Linked DNA regions of Ovis aries. The protein of the gene in region 2 purifies or fractionates together with the protein of the main gene of each other region. This does not show direct contact. Links are inferred from orthologs where the notes say so. Each region holds a gene or a part of one and is shown on either strand. Other genes may lie near its edges. The genes, in order: SESN2, MIOS and DEPDC5.

Region 1 (3,652 bases), on a different chromosome or scaffold from region 2:
AATTCCATGAAAGAAGTGGGAGACCCTGAAGGTGAAAAGACCCAGCCGGGTCCTACGCTCAGGGGATCTTGACCACAGGAAGGAAGTCATCACCAAGCTGCATCCTCCTCAGCTTCTCAGGTCCAGACCAAGCAGCGGGTTAGATTTGTGGGGGTGGAGAGAGGCACTATGGAGATACCAGCTGTGCTGCAGAAGATGGCGTCTCTCTGGCCAGCCTCAGGCCCCAAGGATTCTACTCACTGACTGACCCCTTTCCACGTTTCTCAGGATTATACCTGGGAAGACCATGGCTATTCACTGATCCAGCGGCTCTACCCTGAGGGTGGACAGCTGCTGGATGAGAAGTTCCAGGCAGCCTATAGTCTCACCTATAACACCATTGCCATGCACAGTGGAGTAGATACCTCCATGCTCCGCAGGGCCATCTGGAATTACATCCACTGCGTCTTTGGCATCAGGTAAGTGAAAGTCCCCTCATCCAGGCATGGTGTACCACAAGCCCTCTATCCAAGCTCACAATTGTTTCCTTTTTCTCTTTGTCTTTCTTTCCCTTTCTTCCTGCCTATACTATTCTTCAAATCAAATATATTCCTTGGCTGATTATAAAAGATAATAGCCATCCTCAGTTCTTAAAAGGCTTTAATTCCACCCCCAGGAATAACTAGGGAGATTACACACACACACACACACACACACACACACGTATACTTACATACATACACACATATATACATATAAAGAGAGTTATGTTTGTATTTCCATTCTAAGTAGCAGTTCTTCTCTCATAATAAAGAAAAACAACAGAAATGCCCAATGGTGAAATTTGATTTTTAGTAAATTTAGAAAAAAAGAGATAAAAGAAGAAAATAAAAATCATTCATGATCCCACCTGCTCTTACTATTGTCAGGTATTGGCTTGGTCAAAGAGTTCATTTGGATTTTTCCGTCAACAACTTATGGAAAAACCTGAATGCATTTTTTGGCTAACCCAATATTTCACTGCGTGGGCTGAGCTGTGCTTTATTGGCCAATCTCCCGCTGGCCAACCTCTTTCACAAGTCTCCAATCCAGGAGAAGCCAAGGATGATGGGCATCTTAGGGTGTATATGTGGCACATCGTGGCCTCCCTTGGTGCCCAGCTTCCAGGTCCAGGCTGCTCCACTCTGCAACATGGCCCTTGCTCCTAAACCTTTGTTTACCAAATCTGCCCTCTAGTCTAAAACCGGTCTTCCTCATCCACACTGATCCGTGATGACTCACCGCCTCGCTGGACTGGGGAGGAACAGAATAGCTTCTAGACTTGTCACCAACTTGCTCTTTGACTTTGAACAAGCTGATTGCCTTCCACAGGCTTCAGTTTGCCCATCAGTAAAATGACTACCAACTCCTTTTTCCCTTTCCCTCTTCCTTCTCCAGGGTAAACATTCACACTGATCTCCTGCCCCATCTCCCATGTATGGCCTTAGCTGTAAAGTGGTGACTATGAGCGTGGAGGCAGGCAGAGCTGGGTTTGAATTCCATTCCCAGCTGTGTGACCTGGGACTTCACTTCTCTGAACCTCCATTTCATCTATAAAGTGAGACTGATGAATACAGTACACTGTATACAATAGTATTGTATCCAGTCCTGTACTGAAGTTTCGAGGATGCTGTGAATATATGTCCACATGGTCAGTGCAGCGTGCTCGGCCTCTGTGCATTCCCTTGCAAGTCCAGTGGCCTGTGATATATGACATTAGCTGCTTTTCTAAGAGGAACCAAGCTTCTAGCTGCTTCCTACCTTCTGCCTTTTCTTGCTGCTCTCTGTCCCCCTTCTGCAGAGTGGGGCTGGGGGAGAGAAGTTCTGTGGGAGCAGAGGTGTGAGTGATTCTTTCTGGGTCTTCCATCCAGATATGATGACTATGACTACGGGGAGGTGAACCAGCTCCTGGAGCGGAACCTCAAGGTCTATATCAAGACAGTGGCCTGCTATCCGGAGAAGACCACCCGAAGAATGTACAACCACTTCTGGAGGCACTTCCGCCACTCAGAGAAGGTGCGGCTCATGGGGGAGGAACAGGATGGAAGCCTGTGGAGGAGGCGAGGGCTCGGGACCATTGAGGTCCCGACCCGGGGATCCAACCTGAGTCTCTTCATGTCTCCTGCATCGGCAGGCAGGTTCTTTATCACGAGCGCCCCCTGGGAAGCCCATTTACTCACCCGTAAAATGGGTGTCCTCAGTGGCAGCCGGAAGGACCTGGGTTCATATCATAACACTGTCACTTAGGAGTTGTGTGACCTTGGGCAGGTCATTTTGCTTCTCTGAGCTTGTTATCTTGACAATAAAAATTTAAAAACTGCCTGTATTTCAAGGTCGCTGGGAGGATGAAGTGAGAAAATGAAGGTAAACCTCTGATCCCAAATAAATGCTCAGAGGTAGCTGTTGTTTTTAGCTTTGGGGGATAAAGAGGTTAGTCATGATCGGGATAAACATGCTTGAAATTCTCCCACAGTCCTTGCACCAAGTTACTCAGAGCCTTAGGAAAGGGAAGGATGAAATGGGTGGTCAGGGATGATGGCACTCTGGCAGGGAAGGGGATGGTGAGGAGTGACATCAGTTGCCAACAAGCCCTCGTCTGTGCCCCCAGGTCCACGTGAACTTGCTACTGCTGGAGGCCCGCATGCAAGCCGCCCTGCTCTATGCCCTTCGCGCCATCACCCGTTACATGACCTGACTCACGTGCAAGATCTGTGCCTGGAACAGCTGACCGTGGGGGGCATCCTTCTCGCTGCAAGGACTTCTCTGTTTGGAGACAGACCCTAATCTCTTACTGTCCCATACCCACCTACCCTGCTCTGGGGGTGGGCCTGGGGTGTGATGTGCAGCCTCCCCAGCCACACCCTCCTTCTCACTGGAATGGACAGGACCATCGCACTGACTCTGGTATCTCAGCTCTGCCCCTGGGGCGTCGGGGGCTGGAAGAGGACCATAGCGGATTCCCAGGTGCCAGCCCCTTCTAACCGCCCTTACCCTCAGAGGCCAAGGGCACAGGAAGGAAAATGGACTGAGCGTGGACTTGTGTGCCAGCAGGCGGGGGCCCAGGCAGCACAAGTACTTTGGCCTTCCTGGCCTGGGAAGTCCCTGGCTGGCCCCCAGGGAGAGGGGCAAACACCTCCAGGGACTGACACTCCAAGCAGCTTCACCTCTCCTCCAGCTCCCTCCTCCACAAGACTTCATTACCTCCCACCTGCCATTCACCCATCAATGTGAAAATCAGGGTCACAGCCGGTCTGTGCATCTGGCTCCCCAGAAGCCCGTTCTGTCCAGCAGCCCACAGACCCCTTGCTCCCTGGTCATGCCAGTCCTAGTTCAATTCCCTTGACTCCCTTTGCCCTCTTACCCTTTTCTCCACCACCTGGTGGAGTGAGGCCCCAGGAGAGAGACCAAGCACATCAAGCAAGTAGATTATCTCTAGAGTTTAAAGTCTCTGTTGGTTACTTTGCCTTCAGATGAGGAGGGAGTATTATATGATAAATTCTCTGTGTTTTGGTTTTACGTGGGTGAGGTTCTTTGCTGCCCACCCCTAGAGCCTCAGGCAGTGTCTGAGGGCAGGAGTGTTTCCCCAGAGCTGACCTACCTGGCAGAGGCTGGCACCCCATGCTGTCTCATCTCC
Region 2 (3,652 bases):
CCAGCCAAAAAAAAGAAGTGTTTACAGCATGTTATATAGGGTCAATTGAGGGTTCAGTTTAATAAATCGCTATTAATAAACTCGTTCTTTTGCTCATGTTGAGTTCCCATTGATGTCTTTGTCTAACCAGACTCTGCTTTGTGTTTAGTTTTCATGTTTTTTTGATCCTACACTTTCTAACAGTCCTCTCAGTGTCTTGCACTTTAATCTAACACAGAACAAACCACAGCAGGCCTAGAGGATCTTAGGCAAACCCAACTCAGTCCTAAGACTGTCTGAGTGAGGCTTTCTGGTCTATTCCAAGACCTTTCAAATTTTAACTACTGTATGTTCTTACACTTTGCACTTGGGTATTGTGTTTTTCTGCACTATTATATGTAATAAGGCAGGATTTGTTTAATAGTACATAAATATATATCTATATGTCTAATTACACATAGAAATTTATTTTTCAAGCAGTAGTTTAAAAAACATGAAATAAGCACTATTTAAAATAAACAAGAATTTACTGTAACACTGTCTTGTTATAACCTAAAAGACTCTTGAAAATACTCTAAAACTGAATTAACTTTGCTGTGCACTTAAAATTATATACTATTGTAGATCGACTGTACTTTGACTTAAAAAAAGCAGCATGAGATCAATTGTTACATAAGCACTTGACATGAGATCACTGTATCTGATTCCAAGTATTAAATCTCATTAGCAGTCAGGTATATCCTCGATGTGAGCACTGGATGGTGCTGTCTTCCTGTTTTAGAAAGTTGAGAAATTACTGTTTGTATTAAAACACCCTGAATATTAATAAAGTAGTGTTACATGATATTTGCTACTACTCTGTATTATACGTGTTTGAGAGTCTAGGAGTTTAAAGGTAAAATGAACAGTTTATATTGCTATTATTCCTGAGTTTTAGCTATTTACTATTATAGGCTCCCTAACTCCTTTTTAATCTTAGAAAATGAGTATTTTCTTTAAAGGAAAATTTTATTCAGAATATTATATCATTGAAATTTGTATCAAAAGTCATTTAGGTATTTTGTTATGTCCCAGTGTAAACTCTTGTTTAGTCTTTGTTATTCCTAAAATTTAGAATCTAATCCTTCTGAGTTTTCCTGTACCTATCAGTGATGTTAGGAAGAATATAACTAAACAAAGTAACAAGAAGTATTCAAATTATGTAACCGCTAAGTAGAAGTCTTAGAACTAGCCGGCTTAGCAGATAACTTACAGTATACAATAAAATTTTAAAAATTATTGAAAGATAATTTGTTAGGACCAAACTTTAGTTATTTTAAATTTTATTCATGAAGTTTGCGTTTTATTTATTTCTCCTTTCACCTGTTTCATAGGTGTTTGTGAGCTGCAATTTTTGTGGAAAGTCCATCTCCTACAGCTGCTCCACTGTTCCCCACCAGGGCCGAGGTTTCAGCCAGTATGGTGTCAGTGGCTCACCAACGAAATCTAAAGTGACAAGTTGCCCCGGCTGTCGAAAGCCCCTCCCTCGCTGTGCACTTTGCCTCATTAATATGGGAACGCCTGTCTCCAGTTGTCCTGGTATGACGTGATTCCATGTAATAATTCAGTATACTCTTTTGAGCTGAAATTGTTTCTACATAATTGATTTAATGATGTTGTAAATAAAAGACATACCACCTTGGGTTTATATTATTTCTAAGAGCAAGCCACTTTGCTGGCTTGGCAGTTTTTGTGTTCTATAATTTATAAAATCTGTACATTGAAAGTAAACTCTCTATCCGCAGTATCTCTAACCACACATGCTTACCAGTTTAAAGTTTGTAAGAAGAGCTTAAATATTAAATAATTATATACTGTTTTCTTACCACTTTTAAATTTTATGCTTAAAAGTCACTGTGGCCTCATCAAGTAACAGATATCTTGTGTGCATAAAGAACTTTTGATCATCTCAAAGCCCTTTGACATTTTCTCTTATTTCATCTTCAAAATCTGCCTGTGAAAATATATGGGGAAAGTATTAACCTAGCATTCAGAGTCCTGTCCTTCTAAGTTTTGGTGTTGTTTCTGCTATGTCCGTCAGCTATTTTGTAAATATATGTACTTTTTTAATGGTTAAAAATACTAGAATTACTGTATACTGCTTAACGTCAACATACAGAGAACATTTTTGAGAATAGTAGATAATCGAATATAAATGTACCTAGTGGCTGGAAATATTTCAGCTATTTATATAAGTTAAAAATCATACTAAGGCAAAAATTTTAGCTAGACACACTTGAATATCTGGCATAGTGGTAAATGAATAAGGAATGAAGAACTGCGTCTGATATCAGAATGCCTGTTTCAGTTCTGGCTCTGTGACGTTTAGTCTGCGAGATTGAGAGTCACTTTAACCCACTTATAAATGGAGTGTTGGACTGGGAGATCCTCCTAGTTATGAAACTTTATAATTCTGTTCTGCAGGTTATTCTTGTAAGTAGTCTGTTTTATTGTTGCTTTAACGTCTGAAAGAGATTTGCTAGTAGTATTGTTACTGTTTTTCAGAATAGATTTTTTTTCTAAAGCATGGATTTCTTTTGTCTATCTTACGTATTTTCAGCAGGGCTGCTGCTCACGGGCTTTCTCTAGTTGCAGGGAGCAGGTGCTGCTCTCTAGTTGCGGCGCGCGGGCTTCTCCCTGTGGCGACTTCTCTTACTGCAGAGCACAGGCCCCAGGACGTGCGGCTTAGTATTGGTGGCGCATGGCCTCAGTTGCCCCGTGGCCCGTGGAGTCTTAGTTCCTGGGGCCAGGGACCGAACTCAGGTCGCTTGCATTGGCAGGTCGATTCCTAACCACTGGGCCACAGGGAAGTCCCCCCGCCCCCGCCCCATCCTTTATTTTTAACAAATGTAGTATGTAACGTTTTAGATGCATGTTAGTCTTGACTTGTTTTCATCCAGGACTTTCACTTTTTACACTGCATGTTGATCACTGTTTTTATGGCCTTGAAAGAAAGCATTAGTCCCTCAGTTGTGTTCAGCTCTTTATGATTCCATGGACTGTAGCCCGCCAGGTTCCTCTGTCCATAGAATTCCTCAGGCAAGAGGACTGGAGTGAGTTGCCGTATCCTTTTCCATCTTTCCAACCCAGGGATTGAACCCAAGTCTCCCCTATTACAGACCGATTCTTTACCATCTGAGCCACCAGGGAAGGCGTTGCTACTAATGAATAGAAAATAACAATTTGAGATAAAAATCTACTACAGTGAGAGAACAAGGAAGCAAAATATGGTGTCTAGTAAGTTCTATGTGAACTTAAATACTTAGAAATGATTGAACTTAATATGTCTTTTGGACCATAAGTCTCAGCAAATTGTAATGGCTAGAGTGCTATTGCTTTTTGCTAGGTTCTAGCTTTTCAGGTTTTTCTACTTTTGAAATAGGTAAGAAAAGATAAAAACAGTTTTCTAGAATTTGAAGAAAATTAAACCATAAAGCATTTTAAGCTCTGTTATAAAGGCTATTAATTTAATGAAAAGTCAACACCCAGGTTTATCAAGTCTTAAAACTTTCTCATATTTGCTTCAAATTTTTGTTTAAAAATTTGCTGCAGAAATAATGTCTCTATAAATTTGAATACTTGTTTAATGCACTAAGTTAAGGCTGATTGCTAGGATGACTCAAAGATCCTCGTG
Region 3 (3,652 bases), on a different chromosome or scaffold from region 2:
GCTTGGCATCTATCTGTCTTTTTCTTCCCACCAGCTCTTGAGTGAGGGAGGAACCTTTGTCTCAGTGGGATGAGCAAGTTTGCCTGGTGTTAGCAAGTGAAGGAGCCAGAGCAGTGATTCTATCAATACTAACTCAGTCTGAATCCAAATCCTTTCTTCTAATGACTATACCATGCTGATCTAGGAACTAAAATGTTAATTGATAGCAAATAAAATAATTCCTTAAACGGCACTGAAAAGAAAAAATTTTTTTTAATCTTCTCTAAAGGATTTTGATGTCAACCACTTTTTTATGTTTTAAATTGACGGGAAAACGTGTTTTCAAACCTAGATCCTGAGTGTCCTTTTTGCTCTCACCTCAGTGCTCTTGCCTGGAGAATCCCAGAGATGGGGGAGCCTGGTGGGCTGCCGTCTGTGGGGTCGCACAGAGTCGGACACGACTGAAGCGACTTAGCAGCAGCAGCCGCATCTCCTGCTGCCTATTACGTTCTTACTTAGCAGACTTCAGGGCTCATTGGAAAGTTTGTTTCTTTCTTGACTACCATCACCACTTTTACTCCAAAAGAGAAAGGGTCTCTTTCCTCTTCTCAATTTTCACAACCCTTTGAATTTTCTTGTGTTGCTTCTTAAACTCTTTTTTCTCTCTCTCTATTTCAGTCTGTCTCTCTCTCATTTTTTAATTGCTTGGCTTCAGGTCTTACTTCACCTGAACAGCAGAGAACTCTCTAAGTTTTAAGTTCCTGAAGACAGAAAACATGTCTTGCCCTTGGTAAAGGATCAGTTGTGTTGTTTGTTGAATGTTTGGGCATTTATAGATTGTGTGTGTGTGTGTGCACACACACACGCACACACGTGCCCTCAGTTGTATCTCATTCTTTGTGACCCCATGGACTGTAGCCTGCCAGTCTCCTCTGCCTATGAATTTTCTAGGGAAGAATACTGGAGCGGGTTGCCATTTCCTTCTCCAGGCGATCTTCCCGACCCAGGGATCGAACCCACATCTCCTGATTCTCCTGAATTGGCAGGCAGATTCTTTACCACTGAGCCACCTGAGAAGCCGTTTATAGATTAGAATGTATTTGCCTGGTTTTTCAGAATGCTCTATGTGATTCAGATTTCTTCTCTGTTTCAGAAACCATCAGTGTGGACCAGACTGTGACTCAGGTGTTCCGGCTAAGACCTTATCAAGATGTGTATGTGAATGTTGTTGACCCTAAGGTGTGTCTTTGTTCTGGATTTGAATATCTTATGGGGAATGATTAATGCCCTTCCTCAACAGTAGGTCTCTAAGGAAATAATGAGTTACTTAGGGCTTGCCTGGTGGCTCAGACAGTAAAGAACCCGCCTGCAATGCAGGAGACTTGGGTTCAGTCTCTGGGTCTGGAAGATCCACTGGAGAAGGGAACGGCTACCCACTCCAGTATTCATGCCTGGAGAATTCCAGAGACAGGAGAGCCTGGTGGGCTACCGTCCATGGCGTCGCAAAGAGTGAAACACGATGGCACAACTAACACGCCAAGTGTAGTGTAGACTATTCAATGTGTGGTCCTACATAGGTCGTTTAGGTTATAGACAGAGTGTACGTTGCATTGAAAGTCCTCCTTTTTTTAAAAGCTTGTCCTATCAAGGTTCTGTACATATATGTGTGTTTGTGAAGCTAAATATAAAATTCTCTATAAAATACTAAAATTTCTTTCTGTGTTCTCATTTTACTTTGGGCAATGATGCTGTAAAATTAAGAGGTAAAAAAATTCATTGTCCAAATGACATGATCGATATTATCTAGGGAAATAAAACCCAGCTCACTGTCACATTTCTGTACCAAAATCAGGACTAAAACACTGACTGTCTACTCTGGTGTGCTTTGCACTTGACCATAGTACAGTAGCTGTCATATCTGTTGGACACGTCCCTGTCTTCAAAAGCCTTCTCAGGCAGGATAAAATTCTGTTTCTCAGGGTTCCGCTAATGAATGGGCTTCCCTTGTGGTTCATCGGGTAAAGAATCTGCCCGCAATGCAGGAGACCTGGGTTCGATCCCTGGGCTGGGAAAATCCGTGGAGAAGGGAAGGTTATGCCCTCCAGAATTCTGGCCTGGAGAATTCCATGGACTGTATAGTCCATGGGATCACAAAAGAGTCAGACACGGCTGAGCGACTTTCACTTTCACTACTGAATGGTCTTCAGTGCTTGTCTTTTTGTCAAAAAGTTTCTCTGTGGTGAATGAGCACTATCTTCCGCCTGTAAAGCATGGCAGAGTAATGCAGAAACATACATCTGATTATCCTTTTTAGGATGTGACCCTTGACCTTGTGGAATTAACCTTTAAGGATCAGTATATTGGCCGTGGGGATATGTGGCGACTAAAGAAAAGTTTGGTAAGATGTGATTTTTTTTTTGTTTTAAAGTCTGTTACTTTTTTGATTATAACATAATCCATGTCACTGGGGAGATGTCTGTCTAGTTGGAAGAAGGGTGTAAAATCATTTCCGGTTCTAGCATCACAGACAGTTATTGTAGAGATGTTGTCTGTCTCCTTCCATTCTCTTTTCATGTTTTTTTTCATGCTTTGTTCTGCTTGTTTGTTGTCACAGAGTTTTACTCTGCATTTTTTGATCTGAATGGGAAAGTATAATATGACTTTACATTTAAATGGGACTTTGATTTTCAAGTTTTCACCTGACTTCATTTGCTCTTCATATCTCCTTCTGTGGATAGGCATTTATTACCCTGAATTTATATATATGAAAACTGAGATAGAGGGGTTGAGTGAGTTCCCAAGACGAGAAAGCTAGTAAACAGTTGACACTCGGCTGGAACCGAGATCTTGTTGCTTCCAGGTTAGACTGCTTTTCGCTTTCCCCTCATCCCATTTTTCCTTGTTTATTTATTTTTAACTGGCATTTTCCACCGAACACGATCAGTTCATCACAATTGCGAGCTGGTGTGGAAACTTCTCCTTTTGGACTCTTTGGCAATTGTGGAACAGCAAATCCTAAGTAAAATGTCCACACTGTATATTTTTAGACAGAGATATCTTTGCTTATTTTTTATTTGGTGGGAGAAGGTTCCGTTTTCTAAAATGAGAAGTAGATGTTCTATATGTAAATATAGGTGCATATGTGAGCGTCTATGACAAGTATACAGGGGAAGCTGGCCACTTACTATCCACCCAGTCTTCACTACTGTCTGTACCTGCCAAGCCCTTCAGAACCTACTGTTATACCCGCCCCAGCAGGTTTCCCTGTGGGATAAACCTATTGCTCCCATGTTAATTGAGTATCGGGTTGTTGGAAGAGATTAGAGAGCCAGGAGACTTTCTCTGTGACCTTTCATGGCCTCGATGTGTTGTTGAATCTCTCTCTCTCTCCACCTAGGTCAGCACATGTGCCTATATCACTCAGAAGGTGGAATTTGCTGGCATCAGGTAACTACTGTGTCACTCCTGATTCATCAGCTTGTAAACAGGAGCAGGATCCAGTGCAGTAACTGTTCTACATAAGGCCTTTGAGGCGTGTGGATATCCATATAATAAAACACACAGTAGGCCCAGGAGCAGACAGATCTGTTTGCTGGGCACACTGAAAGCCCATTGGAACATCTAGTTTGGGTGTTTTTCTGCTTGATCTGCCCAACTGCAGAGGATCTTCTGG

The links.
Region 1: the proteins of MIOS (region 2) and SESN2 purify together in Homo sapiens (affinity purification with western blotting; 5 studies listed by BioGRID and IntAct, with this or other methods). This does not show direct contact. The link is inferred for Ovis aries from reciprocal best matches to the Homo sapiens genes MIOS and SESN2.
Region 3: the proteins of MIOS (region 2) and DEPDC5 purify together in Homo sapiens (affinity purification with western blotting; 3 studies listed by BioGRID and IntAct, with this or other methods). This does not show direct contact. The link is inferred for Ovis aries from reciprocal best matches to the Homo sapiens genes MIOS and DEPDC5.

The regions. Positions count from the first base shown.
Region 1 is NC_056055.1:238,843,898-238,847,549, reverse strand, and holds part of SESN2 (sestrin-2), read left to right. Parts: intron 1-267; coding exon 268-458; intron 459-1,889; coding exon 1,890-2,034; intron 2,035-2,626; coding exon 2,627-2,713; 3' UTR 2,714-3,652. UniProt on the Homo sapiens protein: Functions as an intracellular leucine sensor that negatively regulates the mTORC1 signaling pathway through the GATOR complex. In absence of leucine, binds the GATOR subcomplex GATOR2 and prevents mTORC1 signaling.
Region 2 is NC_056057.1:16,418,997-16,422,648, forward strand, and holds part of MIOS (GATOR complex protein MIOS), read left to right. Parts: intron 1-1,352; coding exon 1,353-1,557; intron 1,558-3,652. UniProt on the Homo sapiens protein: As a component of the GATOR2 complex, functions as an activator of the amino acid-sensing branch of the mTORC1 signaling pathway. The GATOR2 complex indirectly activates mTORC1 through the inhibition of the GATOR1 subcomplex.
Region 3 is NC_056070.1:70,308,764-70,312,415, forward strand, and holds part of DEPDC5 (GATOR1 complex protein DEPDC5), read left to right. Parts: intron 1-1,132; coding exon 1,133-1,218; intron 1,219-2,293; coding exon 2,294-2,377; intron 2,378-3,376; coding exon 3,377-3,426; intron 3,427-3,652. UniProt on the Homo sapiens protein: As a component of the GATOR1 complex functions as an inhibitor of the amino acid-sensing branch of the mTORC1 pathway.